Linked DNA regions of Oryctolagus cuniculus. The protein of the gene in region 1 purifies or fractionates together with the protein of each later gene. This does not show direct contact. Links are inferred from orthologs where the notes say so. Each region holds a gene or a part of one and is shown on either strand. Other genes may lie near its edges. The genes, in order: UQCC1 and UQCC2.

Region 1 (15,397 bases):
GACAGAGAGAAAGGTCTTCCTTTTGCCGCTGGTTCACCCTCCAATGGCCGCCGCGGCCGGCGCGCTGCGGCCAGCGCACCGCGCTGATCCGATGGCAGGAGCCAGGAGCCAGGTGCTTTTCCTGGTCTCCCATGGGGTGCAGGGCCCAAGCACCTGGGCCATCCTCCACTGCACTCCCGGGCCACAGCAGAGGGCTGGCCTGGAAGAGGGGCAACCGGGACAGAATCCGGCGCCCCGACCGGGACTAGAACCCGGTGTGCCGGCGCCGCTAGGCGGAGGATTAGCCTAGTGAGCCGCGGCGCCGGCCTAATAATAGTCATTTTTTTTTTTTTTTTTTTTTTTTTTTTTTTTTTGACAGGCAGAGTGGACAGTGAGAGAGAGACAGAGAGAGAAAGGTCTTCCTTTGCCGCTGGTTCACCCTCCAATGGCCGCCGCTGCAGCCGGCGCACCGTGCTGATCCGATGGCAGGAGCCAGGAGCCAGGTGCTTTTCCTGGTCTCCCATGGGGTGCAGGGCCCAAGCACCTGGGCCATCCTCCACTGCACTCCCTGGCCATAGCAGAGAGCTGGCCTGGAAGAGGGGCAACCGGGACAGAATCCGGCGCCCCGACCAGGACTAGAACCCGGTGTGCCGGCGCCGCTAGGCGGAGGATTAGCCTATTGAGCCACGGCGCCGGCTAATAATAGTCATTTTTAAAGTTCATCAAAATGTAAATAAGTGGCTGAGGCAGAAAGGGAAAGCCCATTTCCTCTCCTACCAAGTTCCCTGCCCCAGAAGAAAACTTCCTTAAACGTTTATTGGGTATCTTTCCAGATGTTACCTGTACATAGACAAAAGTACCTTAGTAATTTCCTTTTTTTATGAAAATGGGAGTTACATGATACACTGTATTTTATAACATGCTTTTTTCTTTTTAAAAAGATTTATTTATTGAAAGGCAGAGTGACAGGGCGGAGAGAAAGAGATCTTTTAAAAGAGTTATTTATTTAATTTGAAAGAGTCATGGGGTGGGGGGAGATTTTCCATGCGCTAGTTTACTCCCCAGGTAGCCGCAATGGCCAGGGCTGGGCCAGGCCAAGTCAGGAACCAGGAGCTTCATCTAGGTCTCTCACGTGGGTGGCAAGGGCTCAAACACTTGGGCCTTCTGCTGTTTTTCCCAAGCCATTAGCAGGGAACTGGATCAGAAGTGGAGCAGCTGGGCCGCGCATTGGCACCCATATGAATGTCAGCGTCACAGGCAGCAGCTTGACAGGTTGTACCACAGCACCAGCCCCCAATTTTTTTTTAATTGCAAAGTATACATACATAAAATTTATCATTTTTACCATTTTTTAAAAAGACTTTTAAAAAAATATTTATTTATTTGAAAGGCAGAGTTACAGAGAGGCAGAGTCAGAGAGAGAGCGAGGTCTTCCATCCACTGGTTCACTCCCCAGATGGCTGCAATGGCCGGAACTGTGCTAATCTGAAAGCAGGGGCCAGCAGCTTTTTCTGGGTCTCATGGTTGCAAGGGCCCAAGGACTTGAGCCATCTTCTTCTTTCCCAGGCCATAGCAGAGAGCTGGATTGGAAGTGGAGCAGCTGGGACTCGAACTGGTGCCCAAGTGGGATTCTGGCACTATAGGCGGTGGCTTTACCCACTACGCCACTGTGCAGGCCCCTCATTTTCACCATTTTTAAACATATGGTTCAGTGCAGTATATTCCCATTGTTATGTAACCATCCATCACAATCCATCTCTTGAGTTACTGAGCAGTAACACACACACCCCACCCCGCCCCCAAGTTCCTGGCAGCCACCATTTACTTTCTATCTATGAATTTGACTACTCTAGACACCTCGTGTCAGTGGAAGCAGAATATTTGTGACTGGCTTGTTTCACTTTGCATAATGGCCTCAAGTTTCATCCATGATATAGCATCTGTCTCACTCTCTACCCCCAATATTTATTTTGGAAATTTCGAGCATGTAGAAAGTTAAAGAATGAGGTGATAAACACCTGTGTGCACACCACCAGGATTCATCATTCCTCATCATTTTAATAAACCATGTGCTTTTACACTCATTTTGTGGTTACCTCCAGATTTAATGTGAGTGTCACACAGGTGTAGCTCATTCTGCTCTCCCTGGACTCACAGCACTCACCATACTGGTGTTAACTGTCACCCTGGCTGGGTGTGGATTTCTGGGTGGTGCCAATGCTTATTGTGTCCACATTTCTGTTTCCTTGCTTAGTGCTTGGCACGTGGTAGATGAGGAGATAGCAAGAGAGGAAATGCACGGAAAGGTGGGAAACTAGAGTTCAGGCTGGAGTATGAGCCTGAAGATGATAATTAAAGCCAAAAGGTAAATTAAGGTTAATTTAATCCAAAAAAGTAAGTTAAATTAGTTGCTTCGGGTTACAAGACTAGTTAAAATTGAAGTCTCTTGATTCTTGATTACAATGTCTACAGATAGAAAAAAGCAATTTAGATTGTATGACATACACATTAATTTAATGTGAGCTTTTGGGAGTCATGGGAATCAAGAAACAGCTTACATACACATCAGTTGTTACATTAGATGCATTCTTTTTTATTTTTTAGGAAGGAAGAAAGTTTATTTTGGTTTACAGTTTGGGCAAGTTCACCATCCAAGATTGGGCAGCCCTAATAGTCTGGCTTCTCTGATGGCAGAACATGTCACATCAGATGCATTTTTTTTTTTTTTTTTTTTTTTTTTTTGACAGGCTGAGTGGACAGTGAGAGAGAGAGACAGAGAGGAAGGTCTTCCTTTGCTGTTGGTTCACCCTCCAATGGCCGCTGCGGCCGGTGCACCGCGCTGATCCAATGGCAGGAGCCAGGTACTTATCCTGGTCTCCCACGGGGTGCAGGGCCCAAGTACTTGGGCCATCCTCCACTGCACTCCCGGGCCACAGCAGAGAGCTGGCCTGGAAGAGGGGCAACTGGGACAGAATCCAGCGCCCCGACCGGGACTAGAACCCGGTGTGCCTGCGCCACAAGGCGGAGGATTAGCCTAGTGAGCTGCGGTGCCGGCCCAGATGCATTCTGACTTCAGAAATCTTACAGTGAGGTTTAGAATTGAGGAGACATAACTGTCAGCGTTTATTTGTGGTCCTTACTGCAGGTGGCTCTGTTGGCTCCGCTGATTTCTTTCATCAATATTAATAAACGTGCGCTGAGTCCGCCTTGGCAGAGCCATTTTCCTGACCCTACCTGACCACAGGAATTGCCCGGGGTGCTTTCTAAACCTAACTCTTGAGACCTCTCTGAAGATTCCAGGTCAGCAGCACCCCAGGTGTCTCCCAAGAGCTGGAAAGCTTGGGGAATATACGGATTACTCGGGAAACTTGGTAAAAATATCTGGGCCCTGTCCTCCAAAGGTTCTGATTTATTTGGAACTGGTGGATGTCTGGAGATGTAAAACTTCTCCAGGTGATTTTAATGTGTCTGTGACCTGCCTGGAAGTCACAGATCCAGTGAGCCTAGGCTGGGGCCTGAGAGTCTGCACTAACAGGTGCAGGTGATATGTTCGCAGCCATTTTGCAGACTACATTTGCAGTCACAAGTTTCCAGAACTGCCTAGTACTCACCACATAAAGCTATTTTTTTTAATGATTTTATATATAGATGTAGATATAGATTTAAAAGGCCGAGTTAGAGAGAAGAGGGCGAGTGAAAGGAAGATCAATCTTCCATCTCCAAATGGCCATAACAGCCAGGGCTCGGCCAGGCCAAAGCCAGGAGCCTGGAACTGCATCCAGGTTTCCTCTCTGGGCCACAGGAACCCAAGTACTTGGGTTGTCTTCTGCTGCTTTCCCAGACGCATTAGAAGGGAGCTGGATTGGAAGTAAAGCAGCTGGGGCCCAAACCAGCACTCATATGGGAAGCTGGCATCCTGTACCACAAAACCGCTGCCCCATAATGCTAGTCCCAGACATGTAATTTAAATTAATTGGGCAAAATAATAAATACAGTTCTCCAGCCACGTTAGTCACATTTCAGGTGCTCAATAACTAAGTGACCAGTGGCTACGATATTGGCTGTGCAGGTATAAGACGTTTCCAAATCGCAGAAAGTTGTTTTGGACAGTGCTGTTCTACAGCAGCCTTTTGCTACAATCTTGTTTGGTGTTCCCTTTCCTGGACACTTTGGAACCTTCCTGGGTTTTTTGTTTTGTTTTGATGCCAGGTATAGGGAACCTTTTTTTCTGCCAAGGGCCATTTGGATATTCCAAACATCATTCACAGGCCATACAAAATTATCAGCTTAGGGGCCAGCGCTGTGGCTTAGCAGGGAAAGTTGCTGCCGTCTGCAGTGCTGGCATCTCATATGGGCACAGGTTCAAGTCCCAGCTGCTCCACTTCCGATCCAGCTCTCTGCTATGGCCTGGGAAAGCAGTGAAAGATGACCCAAGTCCTTGGGCCCTTCCACCCGCGTGGGAGACCCGTAAGAAGCTCCTAGCTCCTGCATTCGGATTTGCGCAGCTCCGGCCATTGTGGCCAATTGGGGAGTGAACCAGCAGATGGCAGACCTCTCTCTCTCTGCCTCTCCTCTCTCTGTGTAACTCTGACTTTCATGTAAAATAAATAAAATCTTTAAAAAAATTATCAGCTTAAAAACTAGCCTGCTATAGACTTATTGAAGTTCAAGTCCTGCCTGTGGTTGCCTTAGTAGGGCCAGAACGAATGATTTCATGGACCTTAAATGGTCTGCAGGCTGGTTGTTATCCATCTTTGCTCATGTGATCCAAAGTGCCCTGTGAACTTCTAGGCCACCGTGAACTGTTTCCGTTGTTACATGCCCTTTATCTCCCGTTGCCTACCTTCTTGTGGGGCTGTTCACCTCACTGCCCACCCCCCACATTCTGTGCCAGATTGAGATTCTACTGGACAATGAGATGTTGGCGGCGATAGCTGAGTCTTGGTCTGCTTTGTACCTTGGGGCCTAGTTCAGGAACTGGCACTTTGTAGGCACTCCTGTAAATGTTCAGTGAATGAGAATTGTCTGTCACTCTCCAGATCCTCCCCATTCTTTTTATTTACATCTGAAAGGCATAGAGAGACAGAGGGAGAGAAAAATACAGAGATCTTCCATCTGCTGGTTCACTCCCCAGATGCCTGCAACAGCCAGGGCTAGGACAGGCTGAAGCCAGTGCCCTACAACCTAATCCAGATCTATGTGAGAGGAAGGGACCCAAGTACTTTGAGTCATCACCTACTGCATCCCAGGATGTGCTTTAGCAGGCAACTAGATCAAAAGAAAAATGGGGACTCAAACTCAGGCCCTCTGATACAGGATGCAAGCGTCCCAAGTAGCATCTTAACTGTGGTGCCAAATACCCACCTCCAAACCCTCCCCATTCCTGAATGCCCTCTTCTCCATAAATCTTTCCCTCGCCTCTATAGGTCTCTTTTGTTTTTATTCTGAATTTTGGCACCCATCTACCATTCATCCTTTCACCTATCCATTTGGGAGGTATTTAGTGAGTGTTAACCATATGTGATGTGTGGAGAATAGTTGGTGAAAAAAACATGGTCTCTCTCGCTTCTCGGCCTTTTGGCTAAGATCAAGTGTAGTAAAACATGGTCTCTTTCCGACTGGAGCTTGCCTTCTAACTGAGAGGTAGATGGTGAACAAGTAAACAAGCAAATAAATAACTAGTTGCAAAAAGCATGCAGTGATAGAGTGACAGAGAAAGGCAGCATAGACTCAAGTCTGAGGGCTGGAGAGGCAGCCATGGACAAATCATGTGGAATCCTGCTCTGCTGTTTGGCATTTGTTCCTTCTTGTTTATTGTTGCTGTTGGATGTGCTTTGTCCCTTCTGCTGGACTGCAAACTCCCTGAGAGCTGACACCATGATTCTGTGTTCTTAGCATCATGCTAAGCACATAGTGGTGTCAAATCAGTTGTCACGAGTGAAACTCTGCCGCTAAGCCCGCAGGACATTCCTTCCTGCTTGCCAGCAGTCTCTGTACACCTCCATGTCTGCCATTTCCTGAAGGCTGCTTGCTCTCTGTGCTTGTGAGGGGAAGCAGGCAGGCACCCTCTTAGACAGTGAGAACATTGCTGTGCAATTAAGTGTTTGGCTGCTAGATTTCCTCTCCTCCTCTGCTTCCTTAGTTTAAACTGGCACTCTCAGCCGATCTCCATTTGTTCTCACTGACTTCCGAGCATGCTGGAGGAAAGAAAGCCCCTCTATGCCAGGTGCTGTGTTCTGACCGGAACTGCCCAGGCACGTGTGCCCCCCCCCCCCCATTAGAAGCTGGTCTAGTTCTACTACCAGTAGACTGGATAACCTGTAAGCTCAGTGTTCATACCTTTTAAATGGGGATGATAATGTTTGTCCTGCCCGGTGCACACAGTCATTAGGAATGGGTTTGTGAGGAGACCTGACAGCCTGGGGCAGCCAGTTTGCCACCACTGTTAAGGAGCCTGCGTCAGCCTTTTCTTCTGACTGCCCAGGAACTCCTGATTGATGATTTGCCCCTCCTTGGCCATCTCATCTGCCACCAAGCAGCAGGCCTTGGTGCCCAGGCTTTTCCTGACCCAGGCTCTGCTCATCCTCCGAGTTCTCAGGACACCTGCTCCTGTTGGCGCTCCCATTCCTTCCCATGGCGTGCGTACGTGTGGGTCACTGCCAGCAGCATCTGGCACGCCCAGGGCACTGCAGACACAGGCAGATTGTTGTGTTAGCAAAGAGCTGGGGAGTGGTGATGTGCCTGAGCTTGTCCTGGCCCCTATCGCCACCTGCCAGAAGACGGCTTTCCTGACTCAGCCCGCAGGCCAGGGCGCTCTGGAGCTGGGGCGACTGTAGGAGTGTTCAATAGAGGGCATTTGGAGCAGGTGGAATGTTTTCCACCCACCTGTCAGCACTCCACATGGACATGGCCCTTCCTGACTGCAGGCCTAGAGCCAGACCTCACATACCACAGGGCCCCAGAGGCCAGACCACAGTGTAACACGGGTAAATGATCCTGGGTCTTTGAGTAATGTTTACCACTCACAGAGCCTTTGATGGCCATTATCTCTTAGTTCTAACAGCTCTGTGGGGGGGCGTATTATTATACTTATTTAACACGTGAGACACTGAGGCTCAGAAGAGGGTTAATAGCTTTTCCAAGGCCATGTGGTCATCAGGTGACAGCTGCCAGAAGTTGGCATTTGAACTCAGAGGGTCTGGCTCCCAGATCCTGCTGTTGTTTTGGCTATATCCACAGCTGCCTGCCATGCATACTTCTTATCTTTGATTCAACATGTTACCCCTAACAAAACACCTTCATGTTATCTTATTTTTGTGAGTTAAGGATGTTGTAAGTAGAGCAAGTATTTTCATCCCTTTTTAATAACTGAGAAGGCTAAGACACAGGTTTACTGAATTGTCACTGTCACTGAACTTGGCAGTGGCAGAACTAGGATTTGATCTGATCCTTGACCTCCAAGTCAGCACTTGGGTTCCACACACTGACTTGGCACCAGGACAAGGCAGCTCCTCAACTTTTCCCTTCAAGCACCCTCGCTCCAGGGAACAAGACCCTCACCTCTCCTTCCCTAGAGGTCCAAGTTAGAAAATGGCCCTGGCCTGTGGCTGAGGTTCTAGTGAATCTCTTTGATATTTGGGCTTCCCAACAGAGGTCTCCCCTGTGCCAGGAGAGATTCTCTGTGATCCTCTTAGGCTCATGGCAGACCTGGTGAACAGCATAGCCTGGACCAGCCGTTTCCAGCCCAGGGTTGGGTAACTGAAGACAAGTACCCACTTCTTCCCCATTGTAGATTTGTGCCTTTGGACCAAGCATAAAGATGCAGTCCAGGGGCCGGCGCCTGCAGTGCCAGCATCCTATATGGGCACCGGTTCAAGTCAGCTGTTCCACTTCCAATCTGGCTCTCTGCTGTGGCCTGGGAAAGCAGTAGAAGATGGCCCAAGTCTTTGGGCCCCTGCATCCACGTGAGAGACCTGGAAGAAGCTCCTGGCTCCTGGCTTCAGATTGGCGCAGCTCCAGCTGTTGCAGCCAAATGGGGAATGAACCAGTGGATGAAAGACCTCTCTCTCTGCCTCTCCTTCTCTCTATGTGTAACTCTGACTTTCAAATAAATAAAAAAAATTTTTAAAGATTTATTTATTTATTCAAAAGGCAGAGTTACAGAGAGAAGTAGAGCCAGAGAGAGGTCTTCCATCTGCTGATTCACTCCCCAGATGACCGCAGTGGCCAGAGCTGAGCTGAACCACCACAGTGCCAGCCCGGATAAATAAATCTTTAAAAAAACAAAAAGATGTTTTTTGCCTCCCTCCATGTCCTGTGGACACCAGCAGGAGCAGCTGTGCTCTTCCTAGCCTCTCAAGTGTGGAACAGTGGGAGCTGTGCCCAGGACGGTCCACTAGACACATGTCCCAGCTGTGCATCCCCTTACCTCTGGGTCCCGTGTTCTTCCCGTGTCTGTTAAATGAAGGGGCTGCACAAGGTGTGCTCATGGGAGCCCCTCCAGCTCTGTGGTGTCGCTGTCCCATTCCTGTCTCAGAGTCTGCGAGGTCCTCCTGAGCCAGTTGTGTGATGGCCAGCTTGCTCACAGTGTCCCGGCTTTGGTGTCACGCCTGTGGTACTCCTCACTCAGGAAACAAGTTGTTGTGCTGTGTGTTCCAGGGGATCCTTTCAGATGATCATGGGTTGGCTGCTGCTCTCTGGAGAACCTTCTTCAATCAGAAGTGTGAAGACCCTCGGCAGCTTGAATTGCTGGTGGAATATGTGAGGAAACAGGTGTGTGTCCTGCCCCTCCCCTCCAGGGCCTGTGGAAAGCGGGTGCTCCCTGAGTCTGTGGACGCTGGACGATCAGGATCATGTGAGGTTGAGTTAGCAGGGGCCTGTCTGAGGGAACTTTGACCACATCACTTAAGCAGCAGGCATCTTCTGTGTGGCCAGCCATGAACTAGGCAGGGGGCAGGGAATGAGAGTGACTGAGAGAGAAGGCAGTGAGTAACCTCTTGCTTTCAGAAACGGGAAGTCACTCAGTCACTGCACATCTCCTTGTCTGCTGTGTGCCAGGTTCCATGCTAGATACTGCCCCATGGAGTCCTGAAAGAACCGGGCATTGGGTATAGAGGGTGTAGTGACCGCTGTGTCCGGATTCCTGTCCTGCTCCTGATTTCTAGTGGAACTGGGCTGCAGGCAGTGTTCCACAGATACCCCCAGCCTCTTCCCACAGTCAAGCAAAGTCCCCACTTCAGTTCCTCACCCCTTTGGCAGCATCAGAGCTCTCGGAGAAAAGTTTCACAGTAAAGACTGCTTACCTCTACAGCCTTCCTTGAACCCATGGAGAAGTAACTCCATGATCCTGCTCCCAGGGCCCACATTGAAGAGAACTCATACTTTATGGATGAGTGGGCTGAGTGATAGGGACAAGGAATGTGGAGGCCTTCCCAGGATCTCCAGTGAGTCAGCTGCACAGCTGGCCTCGGACCCCAAGCCAGGTGATCGACGTGGCCACTGGAGACCTCAGCTGCCAACAGACAGCTCATCAGCTCAGCTGTCCCATGAGTCACGCCTTTGCTTCCCGGGCCTAGCTAGGAAGGGGCTTGTGCCATAGTTGTCCCTTGTTCACCTGTATCCACGGCCTTCAAATCTCAACAGCAGGAAAGGGAAGGTCAGACCCCAGCTCTTGAGGAGAAGACTCGGACCGTCGTCCTGGCTATGGCCAGTTGGCTACCAGAAAAGCCGTATCCTGGGGCTCTTCAGACCTAGAGGGTAAAGAACCCCGGAAGCCAGGACTTTGTTTGACCATTCTTCAAATCTGCCCAAGTCCGGGAGATAGCACCATGGCCAGAGGGCCCCACGCACAGGGCATCCTGAGCCTGGCACTGTTGCCTGGACTCAGTCTCGGAAAGGAGCAGCAGTTGGCAAAGCACGTGCTGTGTTTTCTGAGTGCTCCACTCAGGTTTCCATCTGCCATGGTGGGCTTGTGCCAGAGTCTGACAGGGCACAGCTGGGACCCCTCTGAAGACCCTAAAGAAAGGGGCTACCACAACCAGTGTCCCTGTAAGGAGGCCCGGACTTGTGGCACCAGTGAGAACTGGGGAGTAGAAAACAGCGATGGGCCTCTTAGGGATGCCAGAAGCTTCGATGGGAACTCAGTTCTGTCATCAATCCTTTGAACACCTGCTGTGCCAGTCGCTGTGGTAGGAAAGGGGAGATTACTAAGGCTGGCACTGCCCCTGAGGAGCCAGCTCATGGTTTGGTGAGGAAGACGGCAGGGAGAGGTTCCTGCTGACCCCTGGACTAGGGAGGACTGGGGAGGACTGGGGAGGACTGGGGAGGACTGTAGTTCTGCACTGTTGTGTGCTGCTCGGTATGTTCAATGGGCCAAGACCCAGTCAGAGAATATGTTGAGTTCTCAACCCAGGAGGTGGGGAAAGTGGTGGCATTCAGCACAGAAATGGAGCAGTTGGACGGCGGAGTGGGCTTTGGAGAAGATGACAGTTTAGTTGAGTTTCCTTCCTGGGCGGAGAGCAGGGCATGTGGAAATCTAGACCTGAGCTATGTGAGAGGCCGGAGCGGTGTTCAAGGGTCAACAGCCTGAAGTTGAAGCATCAGGACCAGGAATTCCTGGAAGAAGGGGGTGACCCAAGGCTCAAGGTAGAGCTTCTAGTTCCCCTCCCTGCTCCCCCAAATCAAGGCTCATCTTTCTCAATCAGGTGCTGACTTGAGCTCTGATCAGCTCTCACCCTGGATTTTGCCCTTCTGCTTGCAGGCATTTCTCCTTGTGCTGCCCTCCTTCCCTGCAGGCTCCTGGGAGTCCTCCAGAAATGGTCTCCGGAGACCCAGCCCTTGTTCACTCCCTGGCCTCTTGCAGAGCCACCTGAGCCCACTTCCTGAGCTGCTCTCCTTCCCCTCCATCCACAAGTGCCTCCCTCCATAGAGAGCATCTGTACTGAGATTCCTAGGGACAGCGTCCAGGGGTCCAGCATTGCCCAGGGCAGTGGCACCCGGAGCTCACCAACTGTGTGCCCAGAGTCTGAAGGCTGAAGACAGCCCAGAGGTCCTGAATGGTGTCTCCAGATGTCAGAGCAGCTGTCAGTTTGGGGAGCAGGAGGGGACAACATTGGGTGGCCCCAGTTCTGGAGGGGACACTGAGGCTCGGAGGGGAGAGCTGCCAGGCAGCAGAAGAGCTCCGGGACTGCCGCCGTCTCGATGGCAGAGCTGTTCACGGGGATGGGCCCTCCCGGCCGTCCTGGAAGCGGGGCACTGGGCGCTGACCAGCATCAGGGCCGCTGGAGGACAGCGGAGGTGTACAAAGTAGGAAAACTTTCGAGTGAGTAGTGCTGTGCGCATGCGGTACTGTACCTCTCCTTGAGTCCCCTCTATGAGACAGGGAACTAAATATCAGAGAGGAAGTGGCCTCCTTGGGAACACCACCAAGGAGGGGTAGAATTGGGATTTGTTGTTGTTGTTGCCGCGCTGGGTGGGCGTAGACAGGATGCCTTCTGTGAGTCACAAGCCCTGACTTCCTGCTGCAGGAGCTCTCTCGGGCGGGCCTACGGTGGATGTCCTTGGTGGGTGTGTGGTACGAGATGCTCCAAAACCTTCCCAGTGAGCTTCCCCGGGACTTCTCTCGCCAAATCTTAGTGAAATAACCTGGGAGACCAGAAACCCCTGGTTGGGAGCTAGCACGGCCAGAAGTCCCCTCGTGTCCTCTTCCCTCTCTCACTCGGGGAGGCTGGTTCCTCGTGCCACCTCACATTTGTCCTGTCATTGTCTCTTCCTCTGTTCCCTGCTCTCTCCATGCAGATGCAGTACCTGGACTCCATGAATGGTGAAGACCTGCTTCTGACAGGGGAGGTGAGCTGGCGCCCTCTAGTGGAGAAGAATCCTCAGAGCATCCTGAAGCCCCTTTCGCCCACGTACAATGACGAGGGTCTTTGACACACTGCTCCTCCCGGACTTTTGGCCAGCTGGCTTTGAAGAACTGCCAGGAGAGAAGTGACTGTTGAGCCCAGGACCCTGCAGAGAATGGCCTGAACTGACCTGTGAACAGCCTCTGTCAAACACCTGGCCCTTCTTGTGTTGCATCTCCTCTTACTGTGCCCAGGAGTCTGTTCTGGTGGGGGGCAGCCCTGGGAGAATGCCCAGCTTTTCCTCAGGAGAAGCTCCAAGCAGGAGCTCCCCGAGGGCATACCCCCCATGTTCTTTCAGCAGCCACGTGTGGTTGGCAGCTTTTCCAAAGGCTCAGGAAGGGACAGGTTAGAAAGGGGACACCCCACTGCGGGCCACTGTGGCCTAGGAGCGATTTGTAACGCTGCCAACTCAAGATGGATAACCATGTTGTGTCCCTTAGCTCTGGGCCATGGGGTTGAGCCGGCCATTAAAAGAAACAGAGACTTATCTCCGCCAGGCTCTTCTTTATTCTAAGGTCTTTTAGAAACTTCGTGGCTGGTGGATGTCATAAGCCACTCTGCCCAGCTCCGTTAGAACCAGGGTGAGGGGAGAGGTCAGGAGAGTGTGCCGCAGCTTGCCTGCAGGACATGGACGTGGGCCAGTGCCTGCAAGCCAGTCCTCCGGGATGCAGGAGCCTCAGAGGGCCGAGGGGCTTGGCCCATCCTGGGTCATTTGGAAAGAGGCCTCGAGAACAAAGGTCCCTTTGTCACCCCATGAACTGGGTGAGGAGCGTGCGTCTTTCCTGTCTTGGCCTCCCCTTCTGGGAGATGGTAGAGAAAAGAGATCATTCGTCCCCGCGTTCCACCTCCTCCCCACTTCCGGAGCCACCTTGGGCTGAGCTCTCCACACCAGTCCCCTCCTCCCTCTTGTGTGGGTCATGTCTTGGGGGACTTTCTTAAATCGAAGAAAGGGGCGGGGAACCGTATTGCCCCTCCCTCCCCCGTCAAACTTCCTTCATTTAACTTGCTATAAAATGAGTCATATAAAGAAACTCTATATGGGTGAGGTATATCCCACTTCTGTGAAAACATTACAAATCATACCGCCTTCTCTCAGTTTATTTAAGAAGCTTTTGTTGCGCACAGAGCTCTAGAGTGAAGCCTCTGTGTGTGTGAGATAATAACACCTTGTAACTCATTACAGCTGGGCACTATTTACATAAACCAGAGCTGAGCCAGGCAGGAATTTGCTGATTAATTTATTTTTAATGGAGTGAAGTATACCATGCACCAAAATAAACTTTACTGTGTGTACCTAACTGCTCCTGGAATGGATGGAAAAATTAATGGAACAGATTTTGGCTCCCAACTCTACACATTAATTCATATATAAAAGTTATTTGAGCGTTAACCCATTTGCTGCCCAGGGCAGCTCCCCAGCCACAGATTCCAGCCCACAGCCCCAGTTCAGCTACCGGGCTTGCCGGGGAATCCTGGAGCCTCAGATGGGGAAGGAACCGTGATGGTTGTTGGGCCCGCTCCCGCTCCAGAGCTTCACTCCCCTTCTTAGTTGGCCCCTATCCGCGCTGGCCCCCAGTGGGTCCTTCCAGCAACACGTAGATGGTCCCTGCCTGCAGAGCCTGTCCTCATCAAACACAGTGACTCGTAAGATGGAGCCACGCGTGAGGGCCACGTTGGCCCTGCCATGTCTGTGGTGTCCCATAGTCCTCCCTTCCTGGCCATCAGCATCTTTCACTGACTCTGCCAGTCCTCCCCCTCCCCCCCAAGATACATTCCATGTTCCTTCAACACCACCAGGCTCTTAGTTGGATCCCCTACCTCCATGCCAGCCTGTCGTTAGGAGACCGAACCACTTGGGGTTACCTGGAGAGACTACTTAGTGTTTCCTCTGCCTGCAGCGCTCATCCCTCCCTTTCTAACTAGAGACGTCCAGGCTTCCTCAAGTAGCTCCACTCGAGCCCTCGCCAGGCACGTGCACGCTGTCCGTGCTGCTCCCTGCGGCCAGCGAGCTGCCGCCGCACAGCAAACACAGTGCTGCTCTCCTTTGTTTTTGCCGTGCTTGGCAGAGTGCTGGGCTCAGTGCATACTTCGGTAAGTGAAGGAGCAAATAAGTGATTAAATCTTCAGTCATTATCAGTGGGAGTCCAGCCACAAAGCCCCTTTCTGGACTCTTGTCAGTCTGACCTACAGGTCGACGGTTTGAACAATGATGCTTAGGTATTAAGTACTTCTTTTTACTTTAGTATAGGAATCAAACACAAAAGTTCTTTCCATAACTGTTTTCTTTCTTTTCCTTTTTTTATTCTTTTGAAGATGTGTTTTATTTGAAAGGCAGAGTTGCAGAGAGAGAGGAAGAGAGATAGAGAGAGATCTTCTATCTGCTGGTTCACTCCTAAAATGGCCACAGTGGCCAGGGCTGGGCCAGGCCAAAGCCAGGAGCTGGATCTGAAGTGGAGAAGCCAGGACTTGAAACAGCGCCCATATGGAATGCTGACATTGCAGGCAGTGGCTTAACCCGTTATACCACAACACTGGCCCCAACTAAGTGTTTTTCTAATGTGAGTTGTTATTATACAAAACAAGTGAAGGGTATGATTACTTGTCCTCAGGGAGATTGCGCTTTAGGAACAATTACGTCATTTATTTGTACTCTCTGTACTTCCAGAAAGTATCATAGCAAACAAAAAGATAGTTATAATAAAACTGTAAACTATTAACATTTAAAAAGTAAGATGCAAGTATTGGGAGGGAAGAGAGGAAAAATGATGTTAGAAAACCTAGGGACTAGCACGGCGGTGTAGCAGGTAGAGCCACCACCTGCAGTGCTGGCATCCCATATGGGCGCTGGTTCAAGTCCTGGCTCCTCCACTTCCATTCCAGCTCTCTGCTGTGGCCTGGGAAAGCAGTAGAAAATGGCCTGAGTCCTTGGGCCCCTGCACCCATGTGGGAGACCTGGAAGCAGCACCTGGCTTTGGATCAGTGCAGCTCCAGCCACTGTGGCCAATTGGGGAGTGAACCAGCAGATGGAAGATCTCTATCTCTCCTCCTCTCTCTATCTCTCCTCCTCTCCCTCTCCCTCTCCCTTTCCTTCTCTCCGTGTAACTCTGACTTTCAAGTAAATAAATAATAAATAAATCTTTAAAAAGAAAACCTAGGTTGCAAATAGATTTTTTGGGATATTTTATAAAACATTTTAAATGGGCCGGCGCCGCGGCTCACTAGGCTAATCCTCCGCCTTGCGGCGCCGGCACACCGGGTTCTAGTCCCGGTTGGGGTGCCGGATTCTGTCCCGGTTGCCCCTCTTCCAGGCCAGCTCTCTGCTGTGGCCCGGGAGTGCAGTGGAGGATGGCCCAAGTGCTTGGGCCCTGCACCCCATGGGAGACCAGGAAAAGCACCTGGCTCCTGGCTCCTGCCATCGGATCAGTGCGGTGCGCCGGCCGCAGCGCGCCGGCCGCGGCGGCCATTGGAGGGTGACCCAACGGCAAAGGAAGACCTTTCTCTCTGTCTCTCTCTCT
Region 2 (14,690 bases), on another chromosome or scaffold:
GGCATCTGCCAGTTCCTGACGGAGGAGACCAAGCACCGGCTCTTCACCACCACCGAGCAGGACGAGCAGGGCAGCAAAGTGAGCGACTTCTTCGACCAGTCCTCCTTCCTGCACAACGAGATGGAGTGGCAGCGCCGGCTCCGCAGTGAGGACCGCGGACCGCGGGAGGGCGGGCCCAGGCACCCCGGCCCCGGGGGCCCCCCCACCCCGTCCCGCCTCCCTCCTAGGGGGGCCTGGAGCTTGTGAGGGCGCGCAGGGGGCGGGGCACTCACGGCCAGCTGTCCCCAGGCATGCCGCTCATCTACTGGTTCTCGCGCCGCATGACCCTGTGGGGCAGCATCTCCTTCAACCTGGCCGTGTTCATCAACATCATCATCGCCTTCTTCTACCCTTACGTGGAGGGCGCGTCCACAGGTGCGGGCAGCGGGGAGGCCCCGGGGCGGGGCGGGGACAGCCAGGGGCCAGAAACCAGGGCGGGCAGTGGCAGCCAGGCGGGGCGTCCGGCCCCAGGAGCTGCGCCGGGGAGGCTCCCAGGAGGCGCGGTGTTCTGGGGCTCCCGCGCCCCGCTCACCCCTGCTCCCGCGGCCAGGCGTGCTGGGCTCCCCGCTCATGTCGCTGCTCTTCTGGATCCTCATCTGCTTCTCCGTCACGGCCCTGTTCACCAAGCGCTACAGCATCCGCCCGCTCATCGTGGCGCTCATCCTGCGCTCCATCTACTACCTGGGCATCGGGCCCACGCTCAACATCTTGGGTGCCCTCAACGTGAGTGCCGGCGCAGCGCTCTTCCCACGTGCCCACCCGCGGGGGGACCTGAAGCTGGCCCGCTCTGCCCCACCCCCTGCTCTCTGGGCTGAGGTCCCATGCTCGGAGCCACTGAGCACCGGTGCCGGGGCCGCCGTGTCTGCAGCCGGCACAGCGGATGTCAGAGGCGGCGCGTGGTGACGGTTCCCTGGCAGAGGGAGGGGACGTGCCCTGAGCAGAGGGGGCCCTTTCCCGACTTATCGGGTCACCATGCTGGCCTGGGGCTGTCTTCTCCACCCCTCTCTTCCTTTCTCTGAGCCTTGGTTTCTTCCTGGAGCTGCAGGCCCCGGGGGCTCCCCTTCCTGTCCGTCCCGGGAGCCTTGATGCATAGCTGGGAGTGGCTTCGCTAATGCGGCACCTCTGGGTGGGGCGTCGAGGGGTAAGGGGATGGGGTGGAGGTTTGGGCGGGACACTGACCCCCATGCCCTACCCCTCAGCTGACCAACAAGATCGTGTTTGTGGTGAGCTTCGTGGGCAACCGTGGCACCTTCATCCGTGGCTACAAGGCCATGGTCATGGACGTGGAATTCCTCTACCACGTGGGCTACATCCTGACCAGTGTCCTGGGCCTCTTCGCCCATGAGCTCTTCTACAGCATCCTGGTGAGGCCCGCGGGCTGGGTGGGGCTGGGCGGGGCCACTCGGGTGGTTCCCTAGCGCAAGCCTCTGTCTTGTCCTTTGGCTGCTGGGCTGGGAGGAGGGGATGTTCAGTGTCCTCTCTTACTGACCCCAGCCTGACCTGCTCTGTCCAGTACAGTGGGGCTTCAAGCCTGGACTTTGGGACCAGGCCATGGGTGTGTATCTCACCTTGGTCACTCCTAGCCCCTTGTCTTTGGGCAAGTTTTATATATTTTTCTTTTAAAGATTTATTTATTATAAGAATTAGAGAGAGAGAGAGAGAGAGAGAGAGAGAGAATTGATCTATCTGCTGGTTCACTCCCCAAATGGCTACAACGGTCAGGGCTGAGCCAGGCTGAAGCCAGGAGCTGCTTCCAGGTCTCCCATGTGGGTGCAGGGGCCCGAGCACTTGGGCCACCCTCCGCTGCTTTTCCAAGAGCATCCAGGACTTGAACCGGTGCCCATATGGGATGCCAGGGGCTGCAGACGGTGGCTTAACCCGCCGCGCCGCAGGTTTAACTGTCGGCTGGCTCAGTTTCCCCCTCTGTGAAGTGGCGAAGGCAGCTCCTGCATTTCAGAATACTGGGGGTGAAGTGAGCTCGCGCACCGAGTGCCTGCGGAGGGCCGTGCGCTCCCCCGCTTCGTGCCATCCCCGCGGCTCCCCTCGCAGGCCACCCGCTGGCTCTCCCTGCCCAAGTGCCGGGTGCTGCTGGGGCCTGTGGGGGCCCGCGGGAGCCCCTTGAGGGGGGCGGCCCAGCTGCTCAGGGCCCTGTCCCTCGCCGGCAGCTCTTTGACCTCATCTACCGGGAGGAGACGCTGTTCAACGTCATCAAGAGCGTGACCCGCAACGGCCGCTCCATCCTGCTCACGGCGCTGCTGGCGCTCATCCTGGTCTACCTCTTCTCCATCGTGGGCTTCCTCTTCCTCAAGGACGACTTCATCCTGGAGGTCGACCGGCTGCCCAGCAACCACTCCAGAGGTCTGGGGCAGGGCCTGCATGTCAGGGCCAGGACCCCTATGCTCATCCTGCGAGACTCCCTGCCAGTCTGTCCTGTGAGATTCTGGGAAGGTCTAGCTCACACCAGTCAGCTCCTGATTGGTCTAGCTCACGCCATGATTGAGAACCTTGCGGTTCTGACCCCTCAGGAGCCACTTGGTTGAGGGCTGGAGCTGCTGTCACTCATATGAAACTCAGCATTTGCAGGGGCTGCCTGGGTCCCGGGTCTGGGGGGTACAGAGGCCTCTCCCCGCCGGCAGTGGGGGCAGGCAGCACCGGGGGAGGCGGCCCAGAGGGTGTGATGCTGGAGACAGACCTGAGGGGGTGATAAGGACCCTGTCCCTGTCCTCACAGCCAGCCCCCTGGCGATGCCACACGGAGCTGCCGCGTTTGTGGGCACATGCAGCGGGGACAAGATGGACTGTGTCTCCGGGGTGTCGGTGCCTGAGGCCCTGGAAGGTGAGGGTGGGGATCAGTGGATGCGGGGGTGGGGCGGGTGCAGGGGCCAGTGGCGTGGGTCTGAGCACACTGTGCACTTGCAGAAGACGGGGAGCCGGACAGCACGGAGCGGGCCTGCGACACTCTGCTGATGTGCATCGTCACGGTCATGAACCACGGGCTGCGCAATGGAGGCGGCGTGGGCGACATCCTCCGCAAGCCCTCCAAAGACGTGAGTGCCGGGGCCCCGCCCACCCGTCGGCTTCGTGGGGACGTGAGCCCCGCCCCGCGGCCCCCTGGAGATGCCGGGGCTGGGCCCTGGCAGCCACACTCTGGCTGGGGAGGATGTGAGTCAGGCAGAGACTCCGTTGCACCGGGCGCTCCGGCTCGCAGGGCCCGCAGCGGGGAGGGCAGGGCAGGGCAGGGCAGGGCAGCTGAGTCAGCTTCCAGGGAGGCCTCCTGATCTGGCTTGGGAGCCGGCATTCCCTGAACCGCAGTCCACCCCCGGGGCCTGGGGAGTGAGGAGCCGCCTCCCTGGCCAGACAGGGTTTCTAGAATGTGTGAGGTCAGGCATCCTGCGGGTGGGGCAGGGGAGCTCGGCCCTGGCTCTTGCCCTAACTAACCAAGAGTTAGGGGCAGGGACAGGCCCGGGCCGGTAGCCCTCGTTCCCGCGCCGTGGGGCTGCACCGGCCCGTGCTGAGTCAGCTGTTTTCCGAATCCACGCTGGGGGCCTCTGGCTGCACTCTCGCTCCAGGGAGCCAGACGGGCCCACCCTGCCTTCCTCACGGCCAATGAGCTGGAGCCCCCATCGCCACAGGGCCGGGTGAACGCGGGGCCAGCCTGCCTGTCCCCTCCTTGCAGGAGTCTCTCTTCCCAGCCCGCGTGGTCTACGACCTGCTGTTCTTCTTCATCGTCATCATCATCGTGCTGAACCTCATCTTCGGCGTGATCATCGACACCTTCGCCGACCTGCGCAGCGAGAAGCAGAAGAAGGAGGAGATCCTCAAGACCACCTGCTTCATTTGCGGTGAGGCCCGGGCCCAGCCCCCAGCAGCCCCTGCGGAGCCCTGCTGAGGGGCCGCCGATGGCTGGCGCGTGTCCCCGGAACTGGGCAGAGAACGGCCCTGCCTGAGCTCGAGGAAGCGGGAGGGGGAGAGGGCCTCGGAAACCGGCCCTCTAAGCCCTGGGCTTACAGGCCTGCCGGTGGCCTCGAGGTTCTGGTTTCGGTCCCTCGCCAGCCCCCTCGCCCGGGGGACACGGCCCACAGGCAGCCCGGCGGCAGCTCTGGCCGTGCACGCCCGCAGGTCTGGAGAGGGACAAGTTTGATAACAAGACGGTGTCATTCGAGGAGCACATCAAGCTGGAGCACAACATGTGGAACTACCTGTACTTCATCGTGCTGGTCCGCGTCAAGAACAAGACCGACTACACCGGCCCCGAGAGCTACGTGGCCCAGATGATCAAGGTGCCCACGGGGCTGCCGCCTCGCTCCTCACGGGGCGGGAGGAAGCCTGCGGCGGACAAGAGCTGTCCCCTCCCTGGGGACGTCAGGAGAGTACAGGCTGGGTACCCTGACGAGGTGGCACAGCCTCCCTGCCAGCTCACCGTGGCCTGGGTCGGCCCAGGCTTCCCCGTGATGCATCTGTCAAGGGGTGGCAGAAGCTCCCCCCTCAATGACTTTTTCTTTTTTAAGATTTTTAAGAAAGATTTATTATTAGTTTATATGAAAGAGTTACACAGAGAGAGGCAGAAGCAGAGAGAGAGAGAGAGAGAGAGAGAGAGGGGTCTTCCATCCACTGGTTCGCTCCCTAATTGGCTGTAATGGCCGGAGCTGTGCCAATCTGAAGCCAGGAGCCAGGAGTTTCTTCCAGGTCTCCCATGTGGGTGCAGGAGCCCAAGGACTTGGGCCATCTTCTACTGCTTTCCCAGGCCACAGCAGAGAGCTGGATAGGAAGAGGGGCAGCCGCGACTTGAACTGGCGCCCACATAGGATGCCGACACTGCAGGTGGCGGCTTTACCTGCTGCATCACAGCGCCAGCCCCAATGACTGATTTTCCAAGTGAGGGCTTCCTGGGCCAGACTGTTCACCTCCCTGGTGGCCTTTTTCAGAATAAGAACCTGGACTGGTTCCCCCGGATGCGAGCCATGTCCCTCGTGAGCAACGAGGGTGAGGGGGAACAGAACGAGATCCGCATTCTGCAGGACAAGCTCAACTCCACCATGAAGCTGGTGTCCCACCTCACCGCCCAGCTCAACGAGCTCAAGGAGCAGGTGCGCACCCCGCCCTGGGCCAGCCCACTTTGCTCAGCCTTCCTGTCAGCCCTGGGACGTGAGTAGGTCCCGAGCTCTCCCCTACACCGAGTCCTGCCCCATGGCCCAGTGGAACTCCGGCCCGGAGGTATGGCCTCCCTGGGCTCTGCAGCCAATGGGGACCCCCTCCCCGGGGCTCCTGGGGCATGGGGACGTCAGAGGCAGCTGTGGCTGCCCGGCACACCTGCCCCGTCCTCTGCACCTGGCAGTGGCCTGGTTTCCCAGCTGCAGCCAGTCAGGGCTCTGTGATGCGCTCCCTGAGCAGCAGGGTTTGGAGCCGGCAGCCTGCAGAGGAGCAGGACGCCAGCCCTCCCGGGGAGGGGGCGGGTGGCCTGACCGGGCCTGCACCTGTCCCCGCCTAGATGACCGAGCAGCGGAAACGCAGGCAGCGCCTGGGCTTTGTGGATGTGCAGAACTGCATGAGCCGCTGAAGACGCCCGGAGGCCCTGACCAGGACGGCCAACACCGGGGGTTGTGCCCGCGGAAGCTGCCTGCTCCCCCGGGCCAGGGGGCCCAGCCAGCCAGGTGGCCTCTCAAGGCCAGGGACCCACCCAGGGTCCAGCTCCTGCCCGCCAGACCTCCCCCCACCCCACCCCACCCCAGGCTGAGGCCAGCACGGAGGGGGAGCCTCGGAGCTGGTGGTCCTGCCTTGAGCCCTCAAGTCCACTGGGACTCAGTTTACCTTAATGCCTTAGAAGTCCCGGTGACCTGCGTTCCTTCGGGCAGTGCCTGCCAGTCCCATGGCACCCCCGCGGCGTCAGCAGTGGGCTCCCCTCCTCTCCAAGCACTACATTTCGCTGCTGCTGCCTCTGGGGAGGTGGCGGCGGTGCTGTCACTAAGCGACTTTAGGGCTTAGTTATTTAACTTATTCCAAGGTGCACTGCTCAGCCATGTCGCCCAGGTGTCCTGATGACTCAAAGATGGGCAGCCTTTCCCCCAGGACCTGCCTCTTCCTGGGCCAGCCGCACGGGCTGAGCACTGCGAGCGGCTGTTTGTTGACTGCCTGTTTTTTTCTCCTTTGGGTGTATTGTTTTACAAGTCTTTTGTCTCAAGAACTAATGTTAATTGCCTTAAATAAATTAATAGAAATAAACCCAGCTCATTAAAAAGGAGTGCATGTCCTGCCTGTACTCCCCCACGGGGCTCGCCTGCGGCCCCAACACTCCTCAGGCTCACAGCGCGTGGCGACAGTTCCCACCGTCCCCTCCAGTTTATTCCACAGATTTCACAGCACACAGCCTCTTCTCTGGGCCGTGTTCCTGACGCAGGGAGCTCAGAGCGGCAAGTCTGGGGCTCCTACAAAGCCTACCCAGTCGGCAGCCAGCTGCAGCCTGAGGCCCTGCCTGTCCCTTAGCCTGGCTGGGCACGTGGGTCCTCGGGAGGCCAGAGGCTGAGCTCTGTCCTCAGTCTGCGCACATCCTCCCAGGGCCTCTGACAATGACGGGGGAGCCCGAGACTCATCCCAGGAGACACCAGGCCTCCACGGAAGGCGGGGCTCCTGGGCCTGTGCAGGAAGCACCTTGGGCAGAGGCCCCGTGACCCGCCCTGGAACCCGCGCTTCCTCCCCAGAGAGCTCCCCGTGCTGACGCCGGTCCCGGCAGCCGGCTGACACCGCTCCTCGGGCGGAAGCTTGCTTTAGTGCACGGGTTTCCGTCCTGTGGGGCAGACGCGATTCCGCAGCCGTGAGGTCGGGGTCGGGTGATTTATTGACAAGGGCAACATCAAAGGCGCCACACTTAGGTTGGTGGGCGAGATAAGGCCCGTGCCCAGGCCCTGTGCTTCTCCTCAGGGCTCTTGGAGGCAAACTTCTCCTGCAGCTTTTTCCACATGCCTTTGTTCATGTCCTTGAACTCTTCCAAGGTGTCTGCAAAACAAGACACAGGGATGGCTCAAGTCTCAGCTCTGGCTACACGGGCAGCCCTGGGGCCCGCACATCAGAGCAGCCCGCTGGCAGTGAAGGAGCCCCGCGCGCCCGAGACACTGCCCGCTCCCAGGGTCCCCGTCCTGGGCATCTAGGAAGCACGGCGCACTGCTTGTTGCCCTCTGCACACGAGTGTACAAAGCTGCACGGTGGTGTGCACCATGCGATCCACAGCCATGCGCTGCACCACAGGGGTTTAGACTTCTCAGAGTACTTCAAAAAGTTCATGGAAATACATGATACTCAAAACTCCGTGCATAGATTTCAAGATGTTTTTGCAACAAAATTAACTTTTTGAAAGTCATAGTTACACAGAGAGAGGAGAGGCAGAGAGAGAGAGGTCTTCCATCCGATGGTTCACTCCCCAATTGGACGCAACGGCCAGAGCTGCGCCGATCCGAAGCCAGGAGCCAGGAGCTTCCTCTGGGTCTCCCATGTGGGTGCAAGGGCCCAAGCACTTGGGCCATCCTGCACTGGCCCCCGCCCCAGGCCATAGCAGAGAGCTGGATCAGAAGTGGAGCAGCCGGGTGTCGAACCGGCGCCCATATGGGATGCTGGTGCTTCATGCCAGGGTGTTAACCCACTGTGCCACAGCACCAGCCCCCCCATAAATAAATATTTACAAAATTTTTTTTTTCAGCTACTTGAAAGGCAGAGCAACGAGGGGTGGAGGGAGGGAGGCAGGGAGATAGAGAAGCACTCTTCCAGCCCCTGGTTTATGTCCCAAATGCCTGCAACGGCCAGGGCTGGGCCAGGCTGAAGCCAGGAGCCTGGGACTCCATCTTAGTCTTCCAGGTGGGTGGCAGGGGCCCAAGTACTTGAGCCGCCATCTGCTACCTCCTGGGTACACTAGTAGGGTGCTGGACTGGAAGCAAAGTAGCCAGGACTTGAGCCAGGTGCTCTGATATGGTATATGGGAGCCAAAAGCAGCAGCTTAACCTGCGTCACAATGTGGCCCCAGAGCTGGGATTTGAACTCTTGCCGGTGTGGGTTTACTGCAGGCTATGCAGCTAAACAGGCATTAGGGAGGGAGGTAGACCTGGGCCTGAGTCTCCACCAATCCCCTCATCTGTAAAATGGTAAAAATGACCACCTCGAAAGTTGTGAGGGTCTGGGCCAGCGTTGTGTGGTGGTTTTAGCTGCCAGAAGTGACATCGGCATCCCCATATGGGTGCCCCTTTGTGTCCTGGCTGCTCTACTTCCAATCCAGTGCCTGGGAAAGCAGCAGAAGATGGCCCAAGTGCTTGGGCCCCTGCCACCCACATGGGAGACCCAGATGAAGCTCCTGGCTTCTGTTGCGGCCATTTGGGAAGTGAGCCAGAGTATGGAAACTCCCGGTTTCTCCATCTGTACCTCGGCCTTTCAAATAAATCTCCAGGAAAAAAGAAGTTGTGAGGGTTAAAGGAAATGCGGGCAACTTGCCTGCCCCCCACGCCCGCTGGACAGACGGTCTCTTCACTATGCAGGCAGAAGGGGCTGGGGAGAGCAGTGGTACAGGTACCCACCCACACCCAGGGATCCCTCGCCTCCACCCATCCAAAGCCAGGAGCACCTCTGCTTACCACCTGCTAAGGAAGCCTCCAGACACTGCCACGGGGCCCCTGGGGACAAAGCTGCCCCCCCGCCCGCCCCGAGGGAGCTGCTGATCTGCAGCACCCCTGAGCCCAGCAGCCGTGACAGCTGGCTGCCCTGTGTCTAAAACGTAGAACATGCTCAGGCCTGCTTTAGCGTTCATGGGCTGAGTTTCCGTCTCTTATCAAAACTCCCAGAGAACAAAAATAGCCTTTCTGAACAAAAAAAGTCACCTACGTTATTTATTAATGACATCTGCTGCCAGTGGCTCCTGGCTGAATCAGGACAGGCGCTGCCCTTCAGCCACCAGCCTGGCAACCCGCCCTGGGACTTTTCCAGAAGTCCGGGGTCCCTTATGGGGCACAAAGGCACCCCTTGGTGACGAGACCCCTGTCTGCCTCTGCCTGCAAGTCACGAGGACCCCACGCCCGGCGACACGCGGGGACTGGACTCACAGGCCCCAGAGCCTCATGCTACAAGGTGCTGCAGGTCTTTGCTTGCCCCGTCACGGGAAACACTCGAGCAGCTCACCCCACACGTTTGCAACAAAAACACAAGGCGTACTGTGAAAACCAATCATCAGCAAATTTCCTGGGGCCAGAACAAGCCACCGCACAGCCAATGGCGGGGGCCCATCTCCCAGCCTCACTGCCACCTGTCCCCTGCACACTCCAGCTTCCCGGGGGTCACAAGAGGGCAGAGGCAGGGCCTCTGAGTCGGTGTCCATGCCACTTTTAAGTCCAAACTGCTCAGAGTCTGTGGGCCCTCGCGATGAGCCTGGCCATCAGCACGCTGACTGCAGAGACCCAGGCACGGGGAGTAAACGTCTACCTTGAAAAATGCTGACAGAGCGATCCTGCCTGCCCACAACACCTTCACCCCATTCCTGGAGAGCGCTGTAATGAAAGCAGGCTCAGAGTCGACAAGAACACAGGCGACAGCCCCAGGTTCCAATCTGCGCAGAAGGTAAGAGAGTTCTAGAAGGTCAGACGCCTGCATCTTAGCCGCTGCCGGCCGCTGGAGAGACCTCCAGAACCCCAGCAGGCCAATGCCCAGGGCTGGCCCTCCCAGGAAAGGCCGGCCTATTTCTGTACACAATCTCCTTGGCAATGGGAAGGGTAATTTTCCAGCACCTGCCCGCTGCAGTTCCGGCTCCCCTGCCCCAGCCCCTCTGCTCACAATGGAGCCAGGGACGTGAGGAGGGGACCGGCCTGGCAGGGTGGGGTTTATCGAGGACTCCCACACAGACCTGGCTAAGCCGGCTAATCCACAGACCGCGTCCCCGGGGTCAGATAAGTCTCAGTCGGATATCCCTATACATGTTTTATTGAATGGCTTTTTGTTTTAATTAAAACCCTCATTGTTTATAGAGCCCCCTTAGGGCTATAAAAATAAAATTATTTTCCTTCCATCCTGATTTCAACTACTTCCATTTGGCAAATACGTATTCCCCTGTTCCCTGCTGCCCAGCCTTGAATTTGAAAGCACTAAAGATGGATTTTCTTTTTTAAATGATGCCTTTGACCTTCTCCACATTCTGTGGCCAAACAGCACGGGCCCTGCCGTGACTCCAGACTGTCCATCGAGCAGCGCTGTCTTATTAGCCAATCCCCCCCGGCCGCTCAAAGACTCATCTGCAAAGCAACCGAAAGGGCAGCTGTGCTCTCGGTACCTGTGGACAGGATCAGCTTGTACTCCTCCAGGGACAGGCCGCTGAAGCTGGTGTCTCTGGGCCGAGGGTACTGGGGCAGAGGAGAGAGGAGAGAGATTAGTTTTGCACCACACAAGCCTTGCTCTCTCACAATTCACCAGGGCCCTGGGCAGGCCCAGGCCAGGAACATGGCAAGGAGAGGAGCAGCGCCACCGTGAGGTCAGACTTGGCCTCACAAGCACCAGTCTGCCCAGGGCAGGCAGCTCCAACCTCAAAGTGGAATCCCCTCTGGGAGCCAGAGGCCAGCGTGTTCCTGACAGTTCTCCGGTGACGCCCACATGTGCTTTCCTGCGCGGCCACATGGTTAACCATCAGTATCCTCTGGACACCAAATCCACAGCTGCTCGGGTCCCTTATATAAAGTGGTATGTAGGGGCCTCCACCTGTGACAGACATCCCATATGGACACAAGTTTGAATCCCGGCTGCTCCACTTCCAATCCAGCTCCCTGCTGATGGCCTGGGAAAGCAGCCGAAGATGGGCCCCAGCACCCGCATGGGAGACTTGGAAGAAGCTCCTGGCTTCTGATGGCCTGGTCCGGCCATTGCAGCCATTTGGGGCATGAACCAGCAGATGTAAGACCTCTGTCCCTCCCTAACAAATCTTAAAAAAACAAAACAAAAACAAACAAACAAAAAAATAAATAAAGTGGTCTGTACTATTTGCATATAACTTATGCACACCCTCACGTGTAATTTAAATCACCTCCATGTAACTTACAATATCCAGCAAGTGCATGTAAATGGCTGTTACAATATATTGTTCAGGAAATAATGACCAAAAAATGTCTGCACACAGTATTTTTCCTGGATGTTTGCTCCATGGGGGCCTGACTCCATGGGCGCGGAACCTCTGGTTAAGGAGGCTGCTGTGTACGTGTGCAGTCAAGCCCAGGGAAAGCCACACTAAATGGCATCTGACAGTGACTAGCTCAGGGTCGGGGGAAGCCCCCATCTCCCCACCTCTATCACCAGCGCGGGAAGTACCCGTTCCACAGAGCGATGGGAACACGTGAGACCCAGGGCCTGTCCCATGGTCCCGTGAGTACACACCGGCATTGAAGCACAAGGCTTTTATTCTCCATTTTAACAGCCTTTGTCTAGGTGACCTCAAAGCCTCTACAGGCACCTTTGTTGGCCTGGCTGAAATTGCTGGTTACACGGCAAAGCGGGGAAGGCAGTTCTTTACAAAGCCTGGTATAATCAGGTTTCCCTCGTTCTTCCCGGCTGCCCCCGTCAGAGGGCTGGGCTATGACAGGCCGGGCCCACTCACCTTGTGTTTGTAGTAGTTGGAATGGAGCCGGGCTAAGCTCTCGTACATCTGATCACAGGCCTCGGGCTCTGCAATCTGTAAAACAAGGAGCCCCCAAAGAAGTGAGCAGAGCAGTCCTGCGCCCACGCTGCGCCTGCACCCGAGGGAGGACCACACGCAGGGAGGCACCCACACGACGCAGCTGGTATGGGCTCCCGGGCTGCTCAGCCTTGTGGGAGTGGACCCGACCCACAGCCCCCTGCAGTGAGAAATCACCTTTGGGAGCAGTGACTCCCCCTCATCGGTCCCCCACCTGCAAACAAAGCAAGTGAACCAGCGAACAATTGCCTGCTGAGCTCCTGTGACTTCCCCCGGGAGACAAAGAATCGCAGTGGTGGGAGCGTGTCCCTAGCTGGGGCAGAGCCAGGGCGTTCGGGGGCCTCGAGGCTAAGCAGTCAGTGTACACACCCGCGAGACTAAGCTGGGCTCTGAGGGCCGTGGGGTCGGGAGCAGAGAGGGCCTTCCCGGGGGACAGGCTGGTGTGTGCGAGGCGGAGGGGCAGACTGGACGGTCCGCCCGAGGGCCTGCAGGTACAGGTGGAGAGCCTGTGCTGCAGGAAGGGAGAGCTGTGGAGTTAAACTTTCAACATGAAACGGATTAAAAACATTCTTCTATGAAAGGCAAAAAATAAAAATAAAAAAAATCACGTGACCTTCCACCTGCAGTAAGCGAGGAGTTGCTGAAACAGGGCGGTATTTAAGGCGAGCGCAGTGAGCGGGTGCCCATGATGCTGACTGCGGCATGGCCCGGCTGGCAAGGGGTCCTTGCCAACGCAGGGGCACACACGCGGCCTCCGGACGCCCGAGGGGCAGCGCCCCTGCCGGCAGCATCGGCACGGAGGTGGACTTTCCCTTCCCACCGCCCCTCTGCCGTCGCTATCATTTACCCGTGGCTCCTGGCTTTTTTCTGCCTACGATTCTGAAAGCTCCCCAGAACAAGACTTTCTCTCCACGGTTTCCCCAAGAATTCAGACGGCAGATCTCTTTTCTAACTGAAATCCTCTCTCCAAGAAGGCAACGTGTAGACAAATCAGTAGATCAGCGTTTTAATAAGGCAGCTCTGCTTCTGCCTCTGTGTGTGTGTGTGTGTGTGTGTCAGAGAGCGAGCTGAGGTCCCCACGTGACAGCACGCAGACAAGGGATCATCACTGAGCTGCACTGCTGGTCCCTGCGCTCGGGCTGCGCATCACGAGCACGCCAGGTGGCCGGTGCTGGCTAACAGTGGCCAAGGGCAATGTGTGGGCAGAAGACAGGCACGAGGCTGGGGCTGGCAGGCCAGCTTCTTGGGGCACAGGCCGTCTGCACACACACTCTGGTGCAGAGGGACAGACGAGTCGCAGAGGAGGGAGCGCAGCACAGGCACAAAGCTGCGGCGGTGCCGTTCTGACCACCAAAGGTGGCTGCGTTTCCCCCGCGCGCCCTCCTCGCGCCTGTGCCTATGCGCGCTCTCTGGATGTCAGCACATCGGCTGCTCGCCCTGACACCGCTGAAGAAAGCTGTCCCACCTGCTCTCTGGTCTCTGTATCCGTCCACGCTCTCCTCCTGATCTGTCTGAGAACTGGGGCATAAACCCCCTTCAGCCCATGGTATCTGGGGGAGGGGAGACTTACAGGGACAAGGACATCCTCCCACAGGACCGAAGTTCAAACTCGAATTTGGGCCACCCAGCACAGACCCGACAGCAGCGTGCCTGACCCACAGCCCCCACAGAGGAAAAGGACCACCCACTGTAGTAACACATGTATATTTAGTCTCCTGTAATCTGGGACACTTCCGCGCTCTTTGTCTTTCATGAATTGCCACTTTTGAAGCATACTGGCCAACTCAACCATGCTTTCAAAAGCAAAGACAATAATAGCCCTGACTTGGGGGGGTGGCGTGAGGGTGAACCAGGCAAGGCCTGGACTGCTGTGGATTCTGGCCCTGGAGCCCCGACAAGTGTGCACAGGCCGTTTCTGCTATGGTTTGGGACAGCAGATGTAGTCACCTCAGGCCCCTACCTCAGAAGCTCAAAGGGGCCGGCAGCGCAGTGCAGCGGGGAAAGCCGCCTGTGACACCAGCATCTCATGTGGGCATTGCTCTGTGTCCCGGCTGCTCCACTTCTGGTCCAGCTCACTGCTGTTGGCCTGAGAAAGCAGCGGATGATGGCCCAAATAACTAGGCCCCTGCCACTCATGTGGGAGACCTGGAAGAAGCTCTTGGTTCCTGGCTTCAGCCTGGCCCAACACTGGCTGCTGCAGCTATCTTGGGGAGTTAACCAGCGGATGGAAGCTATCTCTCTGCCTCTCTCTCTCCCTCTGTAACTCTTTCTTTTTTATTTGGCAGGAAGAGTTACAGACAGTGAGAGAGAGACAGAGAGACAGAGCGAAAGGTCTTCCTTCCGCTGGTTCACTCCCCAAATGGCCGCTATGGCCGGAGCTGTGCCGATCCAAACCCAGGAGCCAGGTGCTTCCTCCTGGTCTCCCATGGGGTGCAGGGCCCAAGCACTTGGGCCATCCTCCACTGCTTTCCTGGGCCACAGCAGAGAGCTGGATTGGAAGAGGAGCAACCGGGACTAGAACTGGCGCCCATATGGGATGCCGGCGCTGCAGGCGGAGGATTAACCAAGTGAGCCAGGGCGCCAGCCCCCGTAACTCTTTGAAAATCAATTTTTAAAAATCTTAAAGAAATAAGAAAGGAAGGAAGGGAGGGAGGGAGGGAGGGAGGGAGGGAGGGAGGGAGGGAGGGAAGGGGGAGGGACTGAGAGGCAGAGGCGCCCAGGACAGCTGCGGGATGCAGGTCACATGGAGGAGGGGCTAGAGGGTGACTGCAGGGCCGGGAAGAGGGGCCTTGCGGGTGAGGGTCAGCCCAGGCCCACGGCAGGGAATGGCATTAAGGGCACCACCGTGGATCATGGTGGCTGGCAAATCTTGCCCAAGGCTTCACTTGGAACCTGACCTGCCGGCTCTCAGTGGTCACCAAGCTCTCTGTGATCAGATCACTGGGGCAGGCACTGACTCCTGGTGTCTGCCA

The links.
Region 2: the proteins of UQCC1 (region 1) and UQCC2 purify together in Homo sapiens (co-immunoprecipitation; 3 studies listed by BioGRID and IntAct, counting the BioPlex papers as one, with this or other methods). This does not show direct contact. The link is inferred for Oryctolagus cuniculus from reciprocal best matches to the Homo sapiens genes UQCC1 and UQCC2.

Annotation. Positions count from the first base shown.
Region 1 is NC_091442.1:22,865,198-22,880,594, forward strand, and holds the end of UQCC1 (ubiquinol-cytochrome c reductase complex assembly factor 1), read left to right. Parts: intron 1-8,637; coding exon 8,638-8,751; intron 8,752-11,775; coding exon 11,776-11,910; 3' UTR 11,911-13,180; downstream 13,181-15,397. UniProt on the Homo sapiens protein: Required for the assembly of the ubiquinol-cytochrome c reductase complex (mitochondrial respiratory chain complex III or cytochrome b-c1 complex). Involved in cytochrome b translation and/or stability.
Region 2 is NC_091436.1:135,512,877-135,527,566, reverse strand, and holds the end of UQCC2 (ubiquinol-cytochrome c reductase complex assembly factor 2), read right to left. Parts: intron 11,716-14,690; coding exon 11,641-11,715; intron 10,400-11,640; coding exon 10,330-10,399; intron 7,029-10,329; coding exon 6,901-7,028; 3' UTR 6,853-6,900; downstream 1-6,852. Other genes in the region: inositol 1,4,5-trisphosphate-gated calcium channel ITPR3, read left to right, coding at 1-145, 289-414, 590-762, 1,239-1,403, 2,205-2,397, 2,770-2,874, 2,958-3,085, 3,715-3,880 and 3 more.